Linked DNA regions of Kluyveromyces lactis. The protein of the gene in region 1 interacts with the protein of each later gene in a biochemical or structural test. Links are inferred from orthologs where the notes say so. Each region holds a gene or a part of one and is shown in the gene's direction. Other genes may lie near its edges.

Region 1 (3,873 bases):
TGTGCATGGGATGTATCATAAATATGAGCAGTTGATGGAAGACAAAGTGAAACCAGATTCTAATACCACTGTGGTTTTTTTGGGTGATTTTATTTCAAAGGGACCAAATTCAAACCGACTTGTGGAACAAATAATATTAAACGATGATGTAGGTTATGACGTGAAATGTGTTCTTGGCAACAACGAATTGAGAATTTTGTATGCATTGTTAAACCCTATATCATTAACTAAAAGGAAATTGATCAAAATCAAATTCTCCTCAGAAGACTTCCTGCCAGACTTACCATCCATCAACAAGAATCATCGCCGTTTAGCAAGAGAATTGGGTTGGGACAATCTTGCTCGATTGGCAGCTAAGTGTGGAGCTATGTGGGAGTTACAGGATCCACTATACGACAATTTCACTCTTGTAGCAGTTCATGCCGGTGTTCTTCCAGATCATTTAGGAAATCCTCCATTGAAAGAAATTACCGATATGAAATACGTCGACGTAAATGATCACTCTCATACTACAAGACAAAAATTCGAGAACGCTACACGATGGTATCATCTTTGGAACCCTTTAGATAAGAAGAAATATTCGATACACAATAAGATTAAAGTGATTTATGGCCATGATTCTTCTAAAGGTCTAAATATTCGTCCAAACACAAAAGGTTTGGATTCTGCTTGCTACAATGGTAACAAATTGACTGCTCTTGAATACGTTTGGAACCATAAGACGAAAGAATACAACCACATTATGCATCAAATCTCTTGTCAAGACTGAAAGTACCCACAATATCTCAGATACACGCACATTATGTGCCCATACATATATAAAGACTACATATAGAAAGAGTTTATCGATGTGTTACCCTGACTCGAACTAAATGAATGTTGCATCTTTTCCTCTGTGATGATAAAGCATCAATAATTGAATTTGAGGAAGCATTCAAAAAAAAAAAACAAAGGATGGCTGGCCAGCACCCAGAGATTACGAACAAACACGACATTTAGGAAATCCGGAATTCAGTGTAAACAAACGTAACCAAAACAAGTCTTTAACGCACACGCGAAGTAGTTAAGAGTTGCGTCAGCTACAAAAGTGAGAGACAAAGCAAGTTCACTCAGAGTAAAGATATTTACAGCACCGCGGGTCTTGTTTTGTTCATTGTGCTACCTTTCATTGTTTGCTCATTGGTTATATTTCTATCGTTTGGTTCAGTTAAAATAAGGTAACAATCAACGGGAAACTGCCGCCTGACTGTTTAGATAATATTATTCACTTGACTTGAGTCGAATGCGTTAAAGAGAGAAGCTGTCTCTACATTGGCGAATCCACGTATACCCTTTACTCATTTAGCAATACAAAACCAACGAAGGAAGATGTCACATGCAGATGATTTTGACACAGCCTTGGATTCCCCATCGGTTCAAATAAAAGAAGATGTAGGTGTTTTTGATGGAGTCTCGTTTTTCATTGACCCTTTGATCAACGACATGGAAGCTTTGGGCAATGCAGTTCGCAATAACGGTGGGGCAGTCTTAATAGAGGCTCCAGAGAAGAGTTCGAGAGAATGGGAAGCAGCATATTTTGTTTCCAAGAGGTATGATGAGGACTATAGAATATTTGTGCATCCATCTTACATTTTAGATTGTATTGATGCAGGTACACTTTTAAACGTCCATGATTACTTGGGTAAACCTGAGTCTTCCGGGTTTGTTCGGTTCGATTCTAACTCCATCTCTGATGAATATAACATTGGTAGTCAGCTATCCGATCTTCCTGGCTCTGACGTAACAAGAGCTGCAGTCAAGATAGCAACAGGGATCAACGAGTCGATTGATTCCGAGAATACTCGGGGCCAGAGAGAAATGGATTCTGATTCGTCCCCAGAAGTGAAAATGTCTTCCAAGGATGACGAAATAGCTTCTCATGACCAACAGCAACAATTGACCCACACAGATGTAGATGATGCCAATGATCTTATTTTACATGAGCAAGCAAGTTCAAGTCATAATAAATCCTCATTCACTAAAGAAGAGGATGAATTCATCCTTGATGTTGTCAGGAAGAACCCCACTAAGAGAACCACACACACATTATACGATGAAATCTCACATTATGTCCCTAATCATACTGGGAATTCTATCAGACATAGATTTAGAGTCTATTTATCGAAGAGATTAGAATTCGTTTATCAAGTCGATGAAGATGGTAAATTGGTAAGGGACCAGGATGGAAATCTAATCAAAACAGACATTCTACCGAATGGATTAAAGAGGAAATTTACAAGTGAAGAAGATTATAATTTGGCGGTTGCTGTGAAAAAACAGTTTTACAGAGATGCTTTTCAAAGAGACCCTGATACAGGAGCAAGCTTGATCGCTGAAGATGATGAACCTAACATTGTCGCGAAACGACAATTAGTTATGAATACAGAAATTGATCCATCAGAAGTACCTTCTTTCGAAAAGTATACTGTAAATGACCGCCGAGGACCATTGTCTCGTGAATTTTTCAAATTATTCGCACTTGAAGTACCAACCCATTCAGAAAATGCATGGAGGGATCGTTTCCGTAAATTTATTCTGCCTTATGGTATTGATTCATACATTTCATACTATGAGAAATGCATGGAAGAAGGTATAGAACCTGAGTCTATCAAAAATATGACCAACAGACCCAAGAGAGAAGGACCATCACCCGGAAACTATAATACGACCCTAAAAAAGAGTAAGAGATCTACCGAAGGTGGTACTCAGCAATCAACAGATACCAGTTTGAATGATTTCTTCTTAGAATCAGATGCATTCGATCTAATAGATGGTATTAGGCGTGATTTGCACGCAGCTGAAACACAACAAGAAGAGCAAGCACGTTCATTGTATGCTGATGATGTCGCGGAAAGAATTCGTCATCAAGTGGCTTTGGAACATGAAGAGTATGATAACTATGATTTTGATTCAATACCTTTCCCACCCAAGCTCGCTGATAATGATGATTTCTTTGATCATACCTTTTTCAATTTCAGATCTACCAAGGAGTTCATACAAAAGTTGGAAGAGATTATTACTAGGGAATATGATGAGTCACAAGCAGATGTCCTTGTTCATGATCTTGACGTTGAGTGCGGTATCAGAAAGAAATACGCTACATCTGTCCTAACTGCTTTAACTGGTGATATCTCATTGTTTCCAAGATACATTCTGACATCATTCAAATATGGAGTACATCTTCCGCAAAATGTCCCCGGTATATGGACGAAGGAGGATGATGTGATCTTAAGATCAAAGAATCCAGATGGAATGAAGATGCTAGAAAAGAAACATGGTATTGCTAGAATGCAAATGAGGATAAGGTTCCAAGAGAACAATCTAGTGTGAATAAACACTCTTGTTGTCTCACTTAGGTAACTAACATTTCCCTACTTTCATTATAATATACCGATTTTGGTCGCAGTTGTCAGTCTTTGACATGAAATTATCATACTTTATATGTAATGTATCGATCATATTTATGAGCAGAAACATAATGTACTATTTTATTGAGTCCTTGCTGCGGGGCCCTTCCTTTTGTATCACAAGTTCTTTTGATAATAATTCTTTCAAATTTTCACTTATAAGCGATGGATGATGTAACGGGGGATCTTCCGCTTCGCTCGTGAGCGGTATTTCATGTCCATTATACCCTGTACTTGTAGTCCTCTTGCTTATTAGTTCTTCCTCTCTTTCGAGAACTTCAATCATTTTCTGAAACTTTATAAAAAGAAGTTCGCTTCTTATCATGATATCAGACCAATCCATGCTGTTTCTCAAATCATTGAAATATTTTAACACGTCGTCAAACTCTGTTAATTGAGAAACGACGACATCGCTGTGTTTTTGTAA
Region 2 (3,969 bases), on another chromosome or scaffold:
TGATTTCTGCACTAGAAACAAACGCTTTTTTGGCAAATCTAAATCGACGTACAATAGGAAAGATTATCCTACTCACAGACCTACTGATTCACTCACGCAGTGACTCAACGGCGTATGGCTTTTCTATAGAAGAAGCAGCTGGCGTTTTAGAACGGTTTGCTAGTGTATCTGATGGGCCTTGCGATGAGATGGAGCAACGTTTGACGATGGAAAGACAAGTATCAGAACTGAGAAGAAGGCGAATTCCTTTAATTTTCCAACTTTCGTGCTTGAATTCTTGTTTTTTTTCCCAACTTCACCGTTTCATTGCTGTTCAACTTCGTCTCCTGACATTAGTGGAACCCCAATGGGATTATTTTTACATGAACCGGGTAACGAAATAGTAAAATAAGGGCAACGTGACTTATAATTTCTGTTATATTACAGACGCGGCACGCATTACCTCCAATTGCCACGTCAAATGAAGGTACCCCCGTAGTATGTACATTGGTAACTGGCATCCCGCAAAATAAGCATCCCTTCTTTGGAAGTTGAAAAACACGAATCCAGATCCAATTACTGGACTCCTACCCCTGGATGGAAAAACGAAAAGGAAGTCATTTGTGGGGGGTATGGCTTTGGCATCGTGAAATAGGGATCTTCATTTACCCACCCAAGGCCACTGCAAAATTCCCGACCCTTTAAAGCCTCTCCCCACTGTTTCTCTGTACACATATATTTTATACTGGGTTCTCTAGATATGTAGCTTAACTGCGTTCTGCGAGTAAAAATTAAAATAAAGTTCGAATCGAAGTCTAAAAACGTGCTGTGGACTCCGGGGCTGTTCAACCTGTTACCCGGAGATGTACTGAAAAGATAATTCTTGAATCCGTAAAACGTGACCTTTAATTCAGATCTCTAAATGCCAGTTACTTTGTGTCTGAGAGTAGTTTCCAGGTTGAAAGTTGAATATGGAAAAAAATAAAACTGAAAAATGTGAATGAATAAGTAAACAAATAAACAGCAAATGATTGCTAAATCATTGCCTTAGCAAGCTTGAACTATACCAGTACTTGAGCTTAGGAGTAAGCTGAATAAGGAACTAGGTATACTTGCTTAGCCTTTTAAAAAAAAAAAGCGTGAAAGAGAAGAACCTCTTAGCACAGTTTCCGGCTTGCTTAATATGTCTTCGAACGGCAAACAACAGGGAAACAAGGCAGGCGATGCAGCTGGGGGAGCGTCAGGAGCCACGGCTCCCGGTGCAGGCGGAAGTAGTGGCAATGGAAATAGTAGTGCGGCCGGAAATGCTAGCGCTAATGCCAATGCTGGCGGTAGCGGTGCCAGTGGGAATGCACCGGCAGCTTCTAAACCGGGGTTTTCAGCGTCAGATTTGAACCGCATCGTTTTGGAATATTTGAATAAGAAGGGGTATCACAGAACGGAACAGATGCTTCGTGCTGAATCGTCACGTACTTTGACGCCTCCAAATAAAAACGCTGCTGCTTCTAACACAATCCCTGCCTCGTCTGCATCAGCCACTGCGATTACAGGAAGTACTACCACTGCAAAACCTGTTTCAAATCCTTCGATGCCCTTGAAAAGAGATAACAACGGCCAATTGATAAAACCGCAACAGGTGACACCCTTGCACTATTTTAGAGCTTACTCAATGTTGAAAAATTGGATCGATTCGTCTTTAGAATTGTACAAACCTGAGCTATCACGTATCATATACCCGATTTTCATTTACGTTTTTTTACAGTTGGTCATCAAGGACCCCTTACAAGCGAGAAGATTCTTTGACAAGTATTCTGTCGATTACAAAGCCCTTCATGGATCAGAAATTAACCGATTATTCAGTGTCAACTCAGTAGATCACATCAAGGAAAATGAGTTGGCTCAAGGTTTCCAAACCAATAAATATAAGATCACAATCTCAAGAACTACTTTGAACCTTTTGTTGTATTTCTTGAACGAAAACGAAAGTGTGGGAGGATCTTTGTTGATTTCCATCATAAACCAAAACTTGGATCCAAATATCGTAGATGTTGTCAAATCTGAGGATATTCTCACCGACGGGATCAAAGATATCTCAACCGGTGATATTGATGTTGATACGTATAACTCGGTACCTGTGAAGTTAGGACCGTATCCAAAGGACGAAGAGTTCACCAAGGAAGTAGAGATTGAGTTGCAGAAAAAAGATGAACAAGAGGCAGCTGAGAATAAGGATAAACCTGTCGGTAAGACATTAGTTGAGGAATATAGAGAAATGAACGGTAATCAGAACAAACCAGAGGGCACTGAAAAAGCTGATGATAACACCGTTAAGGAAGAAAATGAAAATAAGGAACCTGAAGCTGAAGAGGGTGGAGAAGAAGTCGATGCAACAGCAGATACAGAAGAGAAAGGCACTCCTACACTTAGTGTCGAATCATCGGCTGCTGAAAGAAAGAAAAGAGACTCAAAGAATAAAGACGAGGAAGAAAAACCAGAGGCTTCAATTGGATCTATGATGGAATCACCAGCAAAGGATTCGTTGCCGCTACCGGTAAAAACAACTTTAGATCTAAAGATGGAAATTCAAAAAGTAAGGGAGAGTAGAGATTCCATCCAATTGAAAAACCTACAAACTTCTGCACCAAGTGTGTGTATGTACACTTTCCACAACACTAATGGTAATATGACTTGCGTAGAATTTAGTGATGATGCTAGACTAACTGCAGCTGGTTTCCAAGACAGTACAATTAAGGTATGGTACCTTGATGGATCACCGCTACAGTCGATCCTCCCATCCAAAGCTAAAGACCAATCGAACTCTGCTACTTTGGTAGGACACAGCGGACCAGTTTATTCCGTTGCATTCAGCCCGGATAACAGGTACTTACTTAGCGCATCTGAAGATAAAACTGTCAGACTTTGGTCTTTAGATACGTTCACTTGCCTAGTGTGTTACAAAGGCCATAACCATCCAGTATGGTACGTCAAGTTTTCTCCACTTGGCCATTATTTCATCACCGCTTCACATGATCAAACGGCTAGACTATGGTCTTGTGATCATATCTATCCGTTGAGAATTTTCTCAGGTCATCTAAATGACGTGGATTGTAGCACTTTCCATCCAAATGGTTGCTATGTTTTCACTGGTTCCAGCGACAAAACGTGCCGTATGTGGGATATTCAAACAGGTGATTCTGTTAGACTGTTTTTGGGACATACATCACCAGTCACCGCACTTGAAGTATCGCCTGACGGTAGGTGGTTAACTACGGGCAGTGAGGATGGCACAATTATCGTATGGGATATTGGTACTGGTAAAAGAATCAAACAGATGAAGGGTCACGGTAAGAATCCTATCTATTCCATAACTTTTAACAAAGAAGGTAACTGTCTAGTAACAGGTGGTGCGGATCAAAGTGTTAGAGTTTGGGATATAAAGAGGTTTACAAACGAGCCTGGAATGGAGCCGGAACAACAATTCAACACGTATTCAGGAGATATGGAACTCAGTGTAAATAACGATATCAAAGAATTCGGACGTAGGCGGGCAGTAATACCAACTCAGGATTTGATGGCTTCGTTCCATACAAAGAAAACAGCAATTCACAAAGTAAAATTCACAAGAACGAACCTAGTTTTGGCTGGTGGTGCATTTATTGAGTAAATGCGATTACTTTACTCAGCCAGATAAGGGTCGTTTATTCGACATATCTAGTAGTTGTCCAATTGTAATAAATAAAAAAAAAGAGAATGCGCTTTATCTTTATATTATTTACAATGAGTACGTATATTTTATGTGCATTGATATCAATGCAGTCAATGAAATGTAAATGTTAACAGAATCCTAATAACTAATCTAATATTGGTTTTTCAGCGTCCCACTGCTGTAAAATCGGATGTCCTTTATAATAGTAGCTTTCCCAGTGGATATAGTAATGAGGGATTCCAAATAATAGTAACAAAGATGATATTCCCAAAGGTATCGTGATC

Evidence for each region.
Region 2: the proteins of RAP1 (region 1) and TAF5 form a complex in vitro, tested with the Saccharomyces cerevisiae proteins (2 studies listed by BioGRID, with this or other methods). The link is inferred for Kluyveromyces lactis from reciprocal best matches to the Saccharomyces cerevisiae genes RAP1 and TAF5.

What each region holds. Positions count from the first base shown.
Region 1 is NC_006040.1:1,620,872-1,624,744, reverse strand, and holds RAP1 (DNA-binding transcription factor RAP1), read left to right. Parts: upstream 1-1,368; coding exon 1,369-3,369; downstream 3,370-3,873. Other genes in the region: PPN2 (putative serine/threonine-protein phosphatase), read left to right, coding at 1-769; GTPase-activating protein GYP7, read right to left, coding at 3,523-3,873. UniProt on the Saccharomyces cerevisiae protein: Essential regulatory protein in yeast whose DNA-binding sites are found at three types of chromosomal elements: promoters, silencers, and telomeres.
Region 2 is NC_006041.1:2,087,354-2,091,322, forward strand, and holds TAF5 (chromatin modification protein), read left to right. Parts: upstream 1-1,162; coding exon 1,163-3,643; downstream 3,644-3,969. Other genes in the region: GPI2 (phosphatidylinositol N-acetylglucosaminyltransferase), read right to left, coding at 3,831-3,969. UniProt on the Saccharomyces cerevisiae protein: Functions as a component of both the DNA-binding general transcription initiation factor complex TFIID and the transcription coactivator SAGA complex.